2 linked regions of the Drosophila melanogaster genome follow. The protein of the gene in region 2 interacts with the protein of the main gene of each other region in a biochemical or structural test. Each region holds a gene or a part of one and is shown on either strand. Other genes may lie near its edges. The genes, in order: CG30031 and Rad23.

Region 1 (8,226 bases), on a different chromosome or scaffold from region 2:
TTTTACAAAATTCACAAATTAAAATGCTAAACAGTTATTTTCTTTTAAAAAGCCAATAATATTAATAGTTATGCACACAATTATGTATAATAATTGGATTAGATTAGAACTAAATCAAGTTGAATGACAAGCATCCACTTTTAAAAAATTCCACAATGTTATTGTACAAGTTTAATCCCCTATTTAAATATGTAAGTCGAAAATAGACGTTCCCATCAATACCTTGCAAAAATTAAATATAATAAAAAGAAAGCGAATTATTTAGAAAGGTAATATAAAAGTAGTTACACTTTCCTCGCATTTTTATTTATTTTTGTGATAAAGAGCCGTGCGACTTCTGAGTTGTGGAATATCATTTGGGCACTTCAACGGTATTATTTGGGTTTTCCTGACACGCAGGTGATAAAAATAATTGAAAGTTGTGATTATAGTGCCAAGAACAGATTGGAAACTCGTATAAAAGGGGTGTCCAGTTTAGAGTCAACTCATTGGATTCGCACCATGCTGAAGTTCGTGATCTTGTTGTCTGCAGTAGCCTGCGCCCTGGGAGGCACCGTCCCTGAGGGACTCCTGCCTCAGTTGGATGGCCGCATTGTCGGCGGCTCTGCTACCACCATCAGCAGCTTCCCCTGGCAGATCTCCCTGCAGCGCAGTGGAAGCCACTCCTGCGGTGGATCCATCTACTCCAGCAACGTCATCGTGACCGCCGCTCACTGTCTGCAGTCCGTGTCCGCTTCCGTCCTGCAGATCCGTGCTGGATCCAGCTACTGGAGCTCCGGCGGTGTCACCTTCTCTGTGTCCTCCTTCAAGAACCACGAGGGCTACAACGCCAACACCATGGTCAACGACATTGCCATCATCAAGATCAACGGCGCCCTGACCTTCAGCTCCACCATCAAGGCCATCGGTCTGGCTAGCTCCAACCCCGCCAACGGCGCTGCGGCCTCCGTCTCCGGATGGGGCACTCTCTCCTACGGATCCAGCTCCATCCCCTCCCAGCTGCAGTACGTGAACGTGAACATCGTTAGCCAGAGCCAGTGTGCTTCCTCCACCTACGGATACGGTAGCCAGATCCGCAGCACCATGATCTGCGCTGCTGCCAGCGGCAAGGATGCCTGCCAGGGTGACTCCGGTGGCCCACTGGTCTCCGGCGGAGTCCTCGTCGGTGTTGTCTCCTGGGGATACGGATGCGCTTACTCCAACTACCCCGGTGTCTATGCCGATGTTGCTGCCCTCCGCTCCTGGGTGATCAACAACGCCTAATTATTTTTCGAAATAAATCATATATGAACAGTTTATGACGGTCGTCAGTTTATTTTAAAAGATGGTCTTAGTTAAAAATCAGGACACAGGGTTCACATTTTTAGATGGTAATGACTGTTCGAGTGCAATGACTATTAGATATAGTGAGTTGTGCAAGCAGTAAAGGGACTGCTTTTAGGACTATGGAAATTGATTGATTGGATTTAACTATCCCCATATTCTGTTAGAATGCCCTAAGGATTATTAGCGTGATTGGAATTGTAAACAACTAGGCATTATTAAGAAGCAAACTTGCGCAATGTAGTCGTAAATAAAACATGCATTTTTAACTACAACTTTAAAGCTCTATTAGTTTTCCAAGACTGTACGTTAGGCGGATAGGGAAATCTAGATCATGATCAAGAAGAATATGAATTTTATAGGCTCGATACGCATCATTCTACATAAGACTTACTTTATAACGATATATTCGTAACCATTTTATTTTTATACTCTTTACTCGTAGAGTAAAAGTGTATAATAGATTCGTTTAAATGTATCTAACAGCTACAAGTTAGTGTTTCCAATCATATAATGTACATATATTCTTGATCAGGATCGATAGCCCCATCCGTCTGTCGAGTTCTTAGCAACTATAAAAGCTAGAAGCTTGAGATTAGGCATACAGATTCTAGAGACATAGACCCATATTTCCCCTCCCACAATTTTGAAAAATATTTTGATTTTTTTCACATTTTTATTGTTTTGTAAATTTGTATCGATTCGCCAAAAATATTTTTGCCACGCCCACTCTAACGCCCACAAACCAATCAAAACTTTTTTTTCATTCATTCATTCATTCATTTCATTCATTAATTTCATTCATTCATTTCATTCATTAATTTCATTCATTCATTTCATTCATTAATTTCATTCATTCATTTCATTCATTCATTTCATTCATTTCATTCATTTCATTCATTTCATTCATTTCATTCATTTCATTCATTTCATTCATTTCATTCATTTCATTCATTTCATTCATTTCATTCATTTCATTCATTTCATTCATTTCATTCATTTCATTCATTTCATTCATTTCATTCATTTCATTCATTTCATTCATTTCATTCATTTCATTCATTTCATTCATTTCATTCATTTCATTCATTTCATTCATTTCATTCATTTCATTCATTTCATTCATTTCATTCATTTCATTCATTTCATTCATTTCATTCATTTCATTCATTTCATTCATTTCATTCATTTCATTCATTTCATTCATTTCATTCATTTCATATCATTTCATTCATTTCATTCATTTCATTCATTTCATTCATTTCATTCATTTCATTCATTTCATTCATTTCATTCATTTCATTCATTTCATTCATTTCATTCATTTCATTCATTTCATTCATTTCATTCATTTCATTCATTTCATTCATTTCATTCATTTCATTCATTTCATTCATTTCATTCATTTCATTCATTTCATTCATTTCATTCATTTCATTCATTTCATTCATTTCATTCATTTCATTCATTTCATTCATTTCATTCATTCATTTATATCATTCATTCATTTCATTCATATCATTCATTCATTTCATTCATTCATTTTCACTGTGGAGTTTCTATCGATATGCCAGAAGAAAGATGCTAGTTCGTTCACCCTGACACTAGCTGAGTAACGAGAGTATCTGATAGTCGGGGAACTCGAATATAGCATTCTCTTTTGTTAAAGAGTAAGTTCGGTTAACATAAGTTAAACTATGTAGTAATTGATCGAAAACGGGTACCTCAACAAATTACCTTTAATTTATTAAAATGATTTAAACCATTATTAACCTCCCGACAGAAATCTAGGTGTTTGTTATTTTTCAGGAGGTGAGAATACATTTTTTAGAAGGTTTCCTTTCCCATTTGCTGAATAAGACACATTACTGTTGAATCAGTAATAGGTCAAAACCACAATGAAACATAATAAAAGTAATATCCAAACTGAAATTTATTTCGCATACTTCTTAGGCATTGCTAATAACCCAGGAGCGGAGGGCAGCAACATCGGCATAGACACCGGGGTAGTTGGAGTAAGCGCATCCGTATCCCCAGGAGACAACACCGACGAGGACTCCGCCGGAGACCAGTGGGCCACCGGAGTCACCCTGGCAGGCATCCTTGCCGCTGGCAGCAGCGCAGATCATGGTGCTGCGGATCTGGCTACCGTATCCGTAGGTGGAGGAAGCACACTGGCTCTGGCTAACGATGTTCACGTTCACGTACTGCAGCTGGGAGGGGATGGAGCTGGATCCGTAGGAGAGAGTGCCCCATCCGGAGACGGAGGCCGCAGCGCCGTTGGCGGGGTTGGAGCTAGCCAGACCGATGGCCTTGATGGTGGAGCTGAAGGTCAGGGCGCCGTTGATCTTGATGATGGCAATGTCGTTGACCATGGTGTTGGCGTTGTAGCCCTCGTGGTTCTTGAAGGAGGACACAGAGAAGGTGACACCGCCGGAGCTCCAGTAGCTGGATCCAGCACGGATCTGCAGGACGGAAGCGGACACGGACTGCAGACAGTGAGCGGCGGTCACGATGACGTTGCTGGAGTAGATGGATCCACCGCAGGAGTGGCTTCCACTGCGCTGCAGGGAGATCTGCCAGGGGAAGCTGCTGATGGTGGTAGCAGAGCCGCCGACAATGCGGCCATCCAACTGAGGCAGGAGTCCCTCAGGGACGGTGCCTCCCAGGGCGCAGGCTACTGCAGACAACAAGATCACGAACTTCAGCATGGTGCGAATCCAATGAGTTGACTCTAAACTGGACACCCCTTTTATACGAGTTTCCAATCTGTTCTTGGCACTATAATCACAACTTTCAATTATTTTTATCACCTGCGTGTCAGGAAAACCCAAATAATACCGTTGAAGTGCCCAAATGATATTCCACAACTCAGAAGTCGCACGGCTCTTTATCACAAAAATAAATAAAAATGCAAGGAAAGTGTAACTACTTTTATATTACCTTTCTAAATAATTCGCGTTCTTTTTATTATATTTAATTTGCAAGGTATTGATGGGAACGTCTTTTTTCGACTTACATATTTAAATAGGGGATTAAACTTGTACAATAACATTGTGGAATTTTTTAAAAGTGGATGCTTGTCATTCAACTTGATTTAGTTCTAATCTAATCCAATTATTATACATAATTGTGTGCATAACTATTAATATTATTGGCTTTTTAAAAGAAAATAACTGTTTAGCATTTTAATTTGTGAATTTTGTAAAACCATTAATTTTAAGAACAATTTAATCGCCTTTGCATTAATTTTAATTACATGATTATGCGTTCAATTGCATTGTTTTCTAGTAATGCTCATGATGTTTCTCATAAGTTATATAATTTCTTTTAAAAAATTATGGTGTCTGTTTATTTAAAACACAATAAATTGTTTATAGAAATATAAATTGTTTTAATTTCGTTTAAACCCCGATATCTTTATGTGACTATCTTTTTCAAGCTATTTAAATGACCAACTTATTGCAAAAAAAAATCGTTTGGCATGAATCTGGACTTTGTATACGTATATACTTCTTATTCGCGAAATCTATTTGTCGGTCACACATTTAAAAAATATTTTGGATTTCCCTGACAAGCAAGTGATAAAAATAATTGAAATTTATGATAAGAGCGCCACAAAGAGATAGGTCCCTGTATAAAAGGGGTGTCCAGTTTAGAGTCAACTCATTGGATTCGCACCATGCTGAAGTTCGTGATCTTGTTGTCTGCAGTAGCCTGCGCCCTGGGAGGCACCGTCCCTGAGGGACTCCTGCCTCAGTTGGATGGCCGCATTGTCGGCGGCTCTGCTACCACCATCAGCAGCTTCCCCTGGCAGATCTCCCTGCAGCGCAGTGGAAGCCACTCCTGCGGTGGATCCATCTACTCCAGCAACGTCATCGTGACCGCCGCTCACTGTCTGCAGTCCGTGTCCGCTTCCGTCCTGCAGATCCGTGCTGGATCCAGCTACTGGAGCTCCGGCGGTGTCACCTTCTCTGTGTCCTCCTTCAAGAACCACGAGGGCTACAACGCCAACACCATGGTCAACGACATTGCCATCATCAAGATCAACGGCGCCCTGACCTTCAGCTCCACCATCAAGGCCATCGGTCTGGCTAGCTCCAACCCCGCCAACGGCGCTGCGGCCTCCGTCTCCGGATGGGGCACTCTCTCCTACGGATCCAGCTCCATCCCCTCCCAGCTGCAGTACGTGAACGTGAACATCGTTAGCCAGAGCCAGTGTGCTTCCTCCACCTACGGATACGGTAGCCAGATCCGCAGCACCATGATCTGCGCTGCTGCCAGCGGCAAGGATGCCTGCCAGGGTGACTCCGGTGGCCCACTGGTCTCCGGCGGAGTCCTCGTCGGTGTTGTCTCCTGGGGATACGGATGCGCTTACTCCAACTACCCCGGTGTCTATGCCGATGTTGCTGCCCTCCGCTCCTGGGTTATTAGCAATGCCTAAGAAGTATGCGAAATAAATTTCAGTTTGGATATTACTTTTATTATGTTTCATTGTGGTTTTGACCTATTACTGATTCAACAGTAATGTGTCTTATTCAGCAAATGGGAAAGGAAACCTTCTAAAAAATGTATTCTCACCTCCTGAAAAATAACAAACACCTAGATTTCTGTCGGGAGGTTAATAATGGTTTAAATCATTTTAATAAATTAAAGGTAATTTGTTGAGGTACCCGTTTTCGATCAATTACTACATAGTTTAACTTATGTTAACCGAACTTACTCTTTAACAAAAGAGAATGCTATATTCGAGTTCCCCGACTATCAGATACTCTCGTTACTCAGCTAGTGTCAGGGTGAACGAACTAGCATCTTTCTTCTGGCATATCGATAGAAACTCCACAGTGAAAATGAATGAATGAAATGAATGAATGATATGAATGAAATGAATGAATGATATAAATGAATGAATGAAATGAATGAAATGAATGAAATGAATGAAATGAATGAAATGAATGAAATGAATGAAATGAATGAAATGAATGAAATGAATGAAATGAATGAAATGAATGAAATGAATGAAATGAATGAAATGAATGAAATGAATGAAATGAATGAAATGAATGAAATGAATGAAATGAATGAAATGAATGAAATGAATGAAATGAATGAAATGAATGAAATGAATGAAATGAATGAAATGAATGAAATGAATGAAATGAATGAAATGAATGAAATGAATGAAATGAATGAAATGAATGAAATGAATGAAATGAATGAAATGAATGAAATGAATGAAATGAATGAAATGAATGAAATGAATGAAATGAATGAAATGAATGAAATGAATGAAATGAATGAAATGAATGAAATGAATGAAATGAATGAAATGAATGAAATGAATGAAATGAATGAAATGAATGAAATGAATGAAATGAATGAAATGAATGAAATGAATGAAATGAATGAAATGAATGAAATGAATGAAATGAATGAAATGAATGAAATGAATGAAATGAATGAAATGAATGAAATGAATGAAATGAATGAAATGAATGAAATTAATGAATGAAATGAATGAATGAAATTAATGAATGAAATGAATGAATGAAATTAATGAATGAAATGAATGAATGAATGAATGAAAAAAAAGTTTTGATTGGTTTGTGGGCGTTAGAGTGGGCGTGGCAAAAATATTTTTGGCGAATCGATACAAATTTACAAAACAATAAAAATGTGAAAAAAAATCAAAATATTTTTCAAAATTGTGGGAGGGGAGGGAGGGGAGGAGGGGAAAGGGGAAATATGGGTCTATGTCTCTAGAATCTGTATGCCTAATCTCAAGCTTCTAGCTTTTATAGTTGCTAAGAAACTCGACAGACGGATGGGGCTATCGATCCTGATCAAGAATATATGTACATTATATGATTGGAAACACTAACTTGTAGCTGTTAGATACATTTAAACGAATCTATTATACACTTTTACTCTACGAGTAAAGAGTATAAAAATAAAATGGTTACGAATATATCGTTATAAAGTAAGTCTTATGTAGAATGATGCGTATCGAGCCTATAAAATTCATATTCTTCTTGATCATGATCTAGATTTCCCTATCCGCCTAACGTACAGTCTTGGAAAACTAATAGAGCTTTAAAGTTGTAGTTAAAAATGCATGTTTTATTTACGACTACATTGCGCAAGTTTGCTTCTTAATAATGCCTAGTTGTTTACAATTCCAATCACGCTAATAATCCTTAGGGCATTCTAACAGAATATGGGGATAGTTAAATCCAATCAATCAATTTCCATAGTCCTAAAAGCAGTCCCTTTACTGCTTGCACAACTCACTATATCTAATAGTCATTGCACTCGAACAGTCATTACCATCTAAAAATGTGAACCCTGTGTCCTGATTTTTAACTAAGACCATCTTTTAAAATAAACTGACGACCGTCATAAACTGTTCATATATGATTTATTTCGAAAAATAATTAGGCGTTGTTGATCACCCAGGAGCGGAGGGCAGCAACATCGGCATAGACACCGGGGTAGTTAGCGGCAGCACATCCGTATCCCCAGGAGACAACACCGACGAGGACTCCGCCGGAGACCAGTGGGCCACCGGAGTCACCCTGGCACGAGTCCTTGCCGCTGGCAAAAGCGCAGATCATGGAGCTCTTGATCTGGTTTCCGTAGCCATAGGAGGAAGAAGAGCACCGGCTCTGGCTGACGATGTTCACGTTGACATAACGCAGCTGGGAGGGAATGGAGCTGGAGCCAGAGGACTCGGTACCCCATCCGGAGACGGAGGCAGCAGCACCGTTGGCGGGGTTGGAGCTAGCCAGACCGATGGCCTTGATGGTGGAGCTGAAGCTCAGAGAGGAGCTCAGATGGAGCACAGCGATGTCGTTGACCATGGTGTTGGCGTTGTAACCCTCGTGGTTCTTGAAAGAGGAAACC
Region 2 (9,799 bases):
TTACGGACTACCAAAGAATCAATCGTTTTCTTTTTTTGTGTATATGTATGTACTATTCCCTTTTGCACATTCTCTCAACTTGTGTGACAAAAATTACGATAGCTTGCGTTTCGATTGGTTGTGATTTTTGAGCGATTTTTGATCAGGATCACTAGCCGAGACGAACTAACCCTTTACGTCCGTCCATCTGCTCGCTCGTCCGTATGTACACTACTTTCAAGCTAACTGCATACAACTCTCGCAAAGTCTTATTTCAACATCTTCTCGACATTCTTTTTGGCGTACCGATAAAAACTGGAATGAAAAGAAAAAATAAAATAACACCCACCACCTTAGAAACTAAAAAAGATAGACAGTTGAGACTAAGCATGTAAATTCCAGAGACATAGGCACAGCTCAATATTGTTTCCTGATGTCGCCACGCCACAAAATTAAAACATTTTTCAAAATGTGAATAAAAATTTACGAGACTAGCAAAAATATGAAAATTCATTAATACATTTTTTAAAAGTGTCGGCGTGGCAGTTTTGGGATGGTTGTGGGCTTTAGAGTGGGCGTAGCATGAAGTTGGCAATTTAATAGAAATTTACAAAACTAATAAACGTATGAAAATACGACGGGCGGTAGTGTGGGCTTGGCAACATTTGTCTCTGGAAACTGCATGCATAATCTCAACATTCCAGCTTTTATAGTTCCTGGGATCGAGATCGGACAGACGGAATATATATACTTTATATGGTCGGAAACGCTTCCTTCTACCTGTTACTTACTTTTCATCGAATCTACTATACCCTTTTAATCTACAAGTAACGGGCATAATTAGCAATTTATATCGATTGGTTCCCGTTACAGAAGAATAAAATATTTTAACGTTAAAATTTTGTATTTGCCAATCAATCATCCGATAATAAGCTATAAATTATGATGTTTCATTAAACTGCATACAACTCAAAAATGTTGGTTTTTTGTAGCTAAATTATAATTATATATTATTATATATTGCAGAGCATGATATATAAATATTCTAAATATTCCGAGGGTACTCAACTAACGTATTTATAAAAAAGTCAAATGAATAGGACAATTTAGAAATACTGCATACTCAAAATCGTTGATAATATACAGTCATAGACATAAATAGATCCTCTATCGCTTGTTAAGAGTCGAATGTCTGTCCCCATGAAATATATAAAGTCATATACTAAACAGGAAATGCAAATACTTACCGAAGACTATAACTACTAGATTCCTCATCTTCATTTGGTTCAATAAACTGTAACTGTGATCTTTTATGCCTCCACCACAAGTATCCTCCAGCCAGAAAAAGAGCGATTGTAATAATTAATCCCAATATAGCCAAGCAAGCTATAAGTACTATGCTTGCCATGTCTGTAATAGTGAGAAGTATGTGTAATTTTTTTACGACAATTCGAATCTTAATTCAAGTAAATAACAAAGAAATCGATTATGTAAGATATAATATCTTCGGGCATACATATTTATTTCATGCAGATAAGAACGTAACTTTCTGTAACTAAGGTGTATAATAATATATAATAACAACACCCAACTTATTTTTATTTGTTTATTTTTTATACCACAGTACCACCACAGTATAAACTATGTCGCACTTTAAGATGTAGAGCATATAATATTGTTATTTAATGGCTTTCTTTTTAAAGGAGTACACATTGTTTTATGTTTGACTTATGTAAATCTCATAAAACTTGGTCCAAAACATTATTATTTGTTTAGTTCGCTGTCATAAAGGTTGCAGGTGCCGGAGATCCCAATTAAGAAATAAGCAAACCAAACTAATCCAACATTCAGTATAATTGTTACAGTACTCTATGTTTTTACACTGTCTTATTAGATTGCGTGTTGTTATTACAAATTTGAGTCTTTCCTTTGAATTTAAATAACGGCAAAAACTGTATTTTACTTTAAAACTACTTTATTCCTAAAACAATATGTCGTTTAAGTTAATATCGAGCTACTTATGCCAATGAAAACACGTCGAATACATTTTTTTATAAGAGCTCGTTTGCATGAAAAGCTCGACTCTGTGCGCATGTCATTGAAAATACTAGTATATGTATGCATATACATAGGTACGAGTTATAATACGGAGTACTTTGAAACATTTACCAAAATATAATTGTGGCTGAGTGCAGCCAATTTTGTTGTGCTACTCATTAGGAATTCCCAAAATCGGAACTTAGGGGGATAATAACTGACAAGAGTTCTGAATACAGCCATCCTTATTCTACCTTGACAAGTGCATCGAATTGTTTACTTCCTCTAGATCCTGTCATCAAATAGTTTTCTTGGCAGATCCCGATATGTCACGGTTAAAAAGAAAGCTAGGAGAGAGTGCACGAAGAAATGAAAATCTGATGCTAACACAAGAAATGAAATTAATTCACATGAATACACTTATTTATTATTATTAATTGATAAGTGGAAAAACAATGCATTCGTGTATTTTTTGTATTATTCTTTGCAAATGTCTAATGCACAAGATTATTATTACAATTAAAAATCTTCAACAGCAAATTTTTATTTTTTGTTTTTATGGTATATACAATTATTTAGAATTAACACATTTGTCATTTTTGAAATTGTATCTTTTAAAATTCTCGATATTTACTACATTTAAACACCCCACTGATGATACAGCAATAGTTATCTTAATTTCGAAATTTTCGTTAATCTTATATGAACTCAAATCATATATGTTCACAAGACAGAAGATAAGCATTGATGTATATCTTTTGAAAGGAATACGGTATTACCAAAGACACTAGAATAACAAGATGCGTAACGGCCATACATTGGTTTGCCCAAAGACCCTAGAATAACAAGATGCGTAACGCCATACGATTTTTTGGCACACGATTTTTTGGCCGTGGCTCTAGAGGTGGCTCCAGGCTCTCTCGAATTTTTGTTTGAGAGCGAGAGAGCGAAGAGCGCTACAGCGAACAGCTCTTTTCAACGCACAAAGTGGTAGGAGACATCTGTATGTGTGCACACGTATGCTCATGCATTGTAAATTTGACAAAATATGCCCTTCACCTCAGAAGTTTTTAGACTTTAAATCTATATTATTTTTGATCAATTGGCACCATGCGAAAAATTCTTGTTTTGCATTGCCTTAACGTTATTATTATTTGAAAATATATCAGAAATAGCCAAATCTATGTACATATTATCACAAAAATAAATTTCAAAAATGACTTTATATAAGAATATTTGTCATTAGAGTATTCATCTTGCGGCGTGTGAAAAATTAATAAGGCAATGATTGTTGAGTGCTTGTGTCCGCACTTCGTGCCTCAAGATATGAACAAAGCATTAGAATTATTCTAGTATATTACTTTGATATTACTTTTGCAATAAACAGTTATCATATTTAATTATTTAGTATATTTATTAAATCATTTGACTTAATATGATGTAACATTAACATTAAAAGTGTTTTAAAAAAATAATTTCTCTTTTAAAAAATTGTCAGATGAGAGACAAATTAGAATTAAACATAAATATAAATGTGTAAACGGTAGCTAATTCGAGCGGCGATTTTAACAAACAAATTTAAAAAGCTTTAAAATTATAATAGTCAGGGCGCGAATTTTTAAAAATTTTTTTATTTTATCATATTGCTAGGAAATTGGCAAAAACTACCCTAATATGTACCATGTAAATTCGTTTCTTCGATCAGAATTGATTTCGGCCCGAAAATCGTCTTCTAGCACAACACGCACACTTATACGCGTTCTCGTCTCTTGTTTTTACTCACACAAGCAATCAAATTATATTTTTAGATTTCTTACGCTCTCAGCGGGAGTGAGCGGAAAGAGAGTAATTTTGGCAGTCACCAAAGAAGTGGCTGCATAGTGCCAAACCAATGTATGGCCGTTACGCATCTTGTTATTCTAGTGTCTTTGGTTAAACTAAAGTATTTTTAAAGAAATACCGAACTACTTAAACGGAATTAAAAATTAAATTTCTTTGAAATTTATTGATCATCAACCGATGGTATATTATAAATAGACTTATATACTACAGGTATAACCTGTATATAGTATGATCTAAATCGTTGATATAATGAAATACTAACTACAGTCAAACCACGGACAATTGTTTATTTGTTACGTTCATTATGACTTCAATATTTCATATTTCATTATAAATTTCATTACAAATCTTTACATCTTTCTTGATGTGTGAAAATGTTATAAGGACTATTGAACTCTTTGGTTTGTGCTGCGATTTTGTGTCTTTTAAGCGAGAAGGTATAATTTGCCAGTCCATGTGCGGTCACACTGATGACAAATCGTTTTTATCAAGCGATATTGGGAACTAACTTTCGAGTTTGCATATGTGTATGCATATGTATATTTAATTAAGTTTTGGTTTTGTCTGATACACAAGATGATTATTACAATTAAAAATCTTCAACAGCAAACTTTTACTATTGAGTTTGCCCCGGAAAAAACGGTATGTGTACAAATAGTCAAATACTAGTATATTCACATGTATGGTATATACAATTATTGCAAATGCATATGTGTGCTTATACAGGTATTTCTTACAATTAATTTGTTGTACCATAATAAGCAGGGATTCTGATTACAAAAGGTTTTGGAACTGAAGAAGAAAATATTCGAGGAGCGCGGTCCAGAGTACGTCGCCGAAAAACAAAAACTGATCTACGCTGGCGTCATATTGACGGATGACCGCACCGTTGGTTCATACAACGTTGATGAAAAAAAGTTCATTGTGGTAATGTTGACACGCGATTCGTCTAGTTCAAATCGTAATCAACTTAGTGTAAAAGAAAGTAATAAATTGACTAGCACCGACGATTCAAAGCAATCTATGCCTTGCGAAGAAGCCAACCATACCAATTCGCCTAGTTCCACAAATACAGAAGATTCAGTTTTATCACGTGAAACCAGACCTTTATCTAGTGACGAATTGATTGGCGAGTTGGCCCAGGCTTCCTTACAATCGCGCGCTGAATCTAATTTGCTTATGGGTGACGAATACAACCAAACAGTCCTATCAATGGTGGAAATGGGTTACCCAAGAGAGCAGGTTGAACGTGCGATGGCTGCTAGTTATAACAACCCGGAAAGAGCCGTTGAATATCTCATTAATGGCATACCTGCAGAGGAAGGTACTTTTTACAATAGGCTGAATGAATCAACGAATCCTAGTCTAATCCCCTCCGGACCGCAACCTGCGTCGGCAACCTCTGCCGAGCGTTCAACAGAATCAAATTCAGGTAACTTGATGGGATTTCAATCAGCAGTCAATTTATGTATTCTTGTATGAAACGAAAATATATAATTTCTACCCAGAAGTACTAAATTTGCACACTTCAAAACATAGTGAAATTAATAAACCCGATTTGGCTCTCGCTCTTTAATGAAATTATACGGCCTTAACATAATTGCGTTAGTTTTCCTGGTCAAGAAATATTGTTGATCAAAACTTATGTTGCACATTCGTTAATAAATAATAAAAGAGTTCTCTTAGTACTGGAAATATATGCAGCTGTTAAAGATTCACTAAAATGTTTGTGAGCTCGTTGTCCCGCAGTATCATTTACATATATATGTCAACAGACACTAAAGGAGCGATAATTCACGAATTTTTGTCACTATTCTCTTCAAGGACAGGGCATCACTATATGTTTTTAGTTAATTTAATTATTATTTAATTATTTATATTTACGTTTCAGACCCCTTTGAATTTTTACGTAGCCAGCCACAGTTTCTTCAAATGCGATCTTTAATTTATCAAAACCCTCATCTTTTGCATGCAGTATTGCAGCAGGTAAGTACACTTATAATAATAATTACATGACACGTAAATGATAATTTTTTTTACGTATAGATTGGTCAGACAAACCCAGCCCTTTTACAACTTATTTCGGAGAACCAAGATGCGTTTCTCAATATGCTTAATCAACCGATTGACCGCGAATCGGAGTCAGGCGCCACCGTTCCTCCCGTTTCGAATGCGCGGATTCCTTCAACTTTGGACAATGTTGACCTCTTTTCTCCAGATTTAGAAGTAGCTACTTCAGCACAAAGATCAGCCGCGGGTACAAGTGCAGCACATCAAAGCGGTAGCGCAGCGGATAACGAAGACTTGGAACAACCTTTAGGAGTATCAACCATTCGTTTAAATCGCCAAGATAAGGACGCAATAGAACGGGTATATAGGAGTGAATAATTATATATGGACTGTCGAGTTACTTAATATATTCTTCTTCTAGCTAAAAGCTCTTGGATTCCCAGAGGCCCTTGTACTGCAAGCGTACTTCGCTTGTGAAAAGAACGAGGAACAAGCAGCTAATTTTTTGCTATCGTCTAGCTTCGATGATTAGGATGACAAAATGTAAGAAGTTATGCAAATAACACCGGAAGCGTTACATTTAAAGTTAGATGTTCTTAAATTAAATGTAAAATGTCGATCATAAAAATTCTTTTATATTCTTTTAATACCGTCGGCGTATTGTACTTGTTATTTGTTAAAAATTGCAGCCATGGGTAAAATAGAGTTACGATGTCATTTTTACTAAATATTTCACCACGACATTGTCTTCAGCATAAGACTGCAAATGTCTACAAATTTATCTGTGCCAATCCATGGTAGGGAGGCCTTGGATTAGGCCTTCACCTAATGGATGGCAAAGTATATTTCTAGTGTGTGTATTTCTAGTGTATATGCAATACACACATTAATTATTTTAAGGTCGTATTAAGCTAAAGAAGTCTTATGATTTATTCTTTCCTTATCTTGGTTGATTTATAAAATATTTTTTTGACTAGTGGGAGTCCACAATTAAGTCACTTAACACATAAAGTACTTTTTGTCGTCCTGGATGTTGGACATATGACTAAAATATATTAATCATTGTATTACATAAATTTCGTGTTTTTTTATTGTAAATAATGTCCGCAATTATGCCCTAATAAGCTGTGGCGTCTCTTTGGTGATTCCTTTCAGGATGAGTCGGAGAAATAAAACAATTTCATTAATTGCATGACATTCATAACAATTCTATAGTCGAGTGCCTCGACTATCAGATACCCTTTACTCACGAAAAAACTAATTAAAATTTTTATAAATATTTTTTATTGCTTATTTTTACAGGAATAAATGTTCTCCAGTTTTACAGTACTTAGATTATCATTAATTTACAAATATACAAAACTGTAGAACATTTGGACTTATGATACTTTTCTGCTTGCCAATTAATACGACAAATATAAAACTCGAACATTGTAATATGCATTATTAATGCAAAGAATTCTACACTTTAATATTAATAAATCTCTAATAGTTTCATGTATGGCTATGGTCCCCTCTATAATGTTGCTACAATTATAAATCTTTCCTGACTCAATGTAGATTCAAAGACACAAGAATTATTGGTAGATTTGGTAGAACGCAGGTAAGTGGAAAGAGAAGCACTCGTTAATACTTCTTTCCTTGACACGTTCCAGAACTTTAGACTGGGTCGAATTAACTTTATAAACATGGGCATACCCACCGGACCACAAATAACGTTATTCTAGTGTCTTTGGTTTGACTGTGTTAATGACAAATCTTTAAGCTCAAAATTGTAGTATAGAAACTCTTTGGTGACCATTGACACGAATAGGACTGCCGACCACAGTGACATACATATAAAGTGAAAACATACACATTTATGTGGAAATGGTCTGGCAACGACGAAAGACAAGCTTCACAGCTTATCTAACGACAAATCAAAAAGTTAGAACGATAGAGTGGTGTTTACACACAAACTACCGGATTGATGTACACTTTCTCATATCGATATGACGCAACCTAGTGATTTTGGAAGTATTAGTAAGATGCTACGCGGTGAAAAGATACAAAATATTATAAGATTGTATATATGTAAAGGGAAAACAATTTATCCTAATTTGAAACAAATCCATGCTACAAGTAATTGAACATTTTACCAAATTTTGTCGATTGTGCCCAAGGAGAAGAGAATCGAGATCAGGTTTCGGAATGGCAACGAAAAGGAATAGTACGCAAGTCGGCGCCGAATTTCGCCAGCAGACTCGTCATAGTCAAAAACAAAGATGGATCAACTTAACGCCATGGTTTAAAAAACTGCCTAAAACTGCAGTCAGCAAAGCTATTTGTCGTCGTGATTTTGGGAAACAGTTTTTTTCACGTTCTAGTAGAAGAGAAGTGCCCATAATACACATCATTTATAGCCAAAGAAGTTTTTAAAGATCTTTGCTAAGATATGATTCATATTTACAAGACAAGACAAGAACAGCGGAAATAAAGAACGCGCGAAAAATATTCCGCAAAGAAGTTGAGCAGAATTAAAGTAGAAAAGACGCAGAAAGGTATCTATAAATGTAGAAAGTCATAGCAGAAGTAGTTATAGAAATCCGTAATCTAAGGCCGTAACAGAAGACGTTATCCAGTAAACCAATGGTGACATTGCCAAGCTGCCTTTAAACCGTCTCTTACTTTTTACTACCATTCTGAGAACGTAAACTATCCATTGTTATTAAATACAATAAAAACATATATAATTATAAATTAACATATAGTATATAGGAGCCGGAGTCAAAATTCTGATGCCAATGAATTCGGCGCCGACTTGCGTACTATTCCTGCCTGCGCAAGTCTAAATATTAAAGTAAAATATTTCTTGCACTACTTTTTGACCTTCCTCATTTTGCTTGGTTTACTCACAATACATTCTCGTATAAGGCCTCTCAAATCACTCAACTTTACAGAAAGCTGACAAAAGTTGACGTCGGTACCAAATTTGACTTTCATGCGACAATTCATTAAATTCAAAATCTTTGTGCAAAGCACTTAATGTTAATAATTGTATATCCGAGAAATTAAACCCAATATATTTATAGCTTAATATCCCTTAACTTTTACTTCATCTTATTTGACAAAAATATATGTATTACTACATTACTAGTGATTATGTCCAAATGTTATAATTAGGGGTAGCAGTGCGCCGCAAATCAGAATTACCAATTCACTATATTTTAGTGCTTGAATACTATTGCTTCCATTTATATCATTCGTAGCAACACCTCGAGATTCCTCTAGCAAACAATAATCATGCTGATCGCTTTTCGTAAATCCCCCTTGGGTAAGCTCTGGTAAAACATGCACAGTTGCTACGTACAAAAATGTTCCAGCGGAGAATAGCATAGCTATACCAGTGGCATTCACGGAATTTAACGTGTCCTTCTGCTCCTGTCCGATCCCAAAATACGTTAAAATAGTCATAAGGGGAGCCGACAGGGAAAATAAGACTAGGTGTCTGCGAATTTGATGTCTGTCTACTTTTTCGTGCAGTAAGAATGTCACTAATCCAAATGCTGCTGGTGCCTTATGAAGCATTATAGCTAAAAATACAATTATCTCAACGTCTTGATGGCTAGTGGTGGCAGCTGCTCCCAATGCAACTCCATCAGCTGCAAAAGAACAACAATTTTTAAGATATGGTGGGTACACCAATATAAGCTTCTTTACCTGCGGCATGCACAACCAATCCAAGAGTTAGTGTGGCATTGTTTTTTTTATTACTTCCAACATTACTCTTCCGCTGAGAGATGTCCACCAACATCATGAAGACAAATCCAAGCACAAGAGAAAGTCCAATGGTCTGTGAGTAATCTGGTTGCTCCGGAACTGATGTCCGTTTTTGGGATTGGCCACTCCCCACATACAATGATCGAATGCCCTCCGGAATAATAACAACGAG

The links.
Region 1: of the proteins of Rad23 (region 2) and CG30031, one has a biochemical effect on the other in vitro, tested with the Drosophila melanogaster proteins (one study listed by BioGRID).

The regions. Positions count from the first base shown.
Region 1 is NT_033778.4:11,346,635-11,354,860, reverse strand, and holds CG30031 (uncharacterized protein), read right to left. Parts: upstream 4,051-8,226; 5' UTR 4,035-4,050; coding exon 3,273-4,034; 3' UTR 3,240-3,272; downstream 1-3,239. Other genes in the region: CG30025 (uncharacterized protein), read left to right, coding at 502-1,263; gammaTry (gammaTrypsin), read left to right, coding at 5,006-5,767; betaTry (betaTrypsin), read right to left, coding at 7,758-8,226.
Region 2 is NC_004353.4:303,790-313,588, forward strand, and holds Rad23 (Rad23), read left to right. Parts: upstream 1-4,303; 5' UTR 4,304-4,434; coding exon 4,435-4,500; intron 4,501-4,623; exon of another isoform or gene 4,624-4,641; coding exon 4,642-5,290; intron 5,291-5,749; coding exon 5,750-5,844; intron 5,845-5,904; coding exon 5,905-6,228; intron 6,229-6,289; coding exon 6,290-6,400; 3' UTR 6,401-7,033; downstream 7,034-9,799. Other genes in the region: Syt7 (synaptotagmin 7), read right to left, coding at 1,227-1,387; Zip102B (Zinc/iron regulated transporter-related protein 102B), read right to left, coding at 9,001-9,509, 9,568-9,799.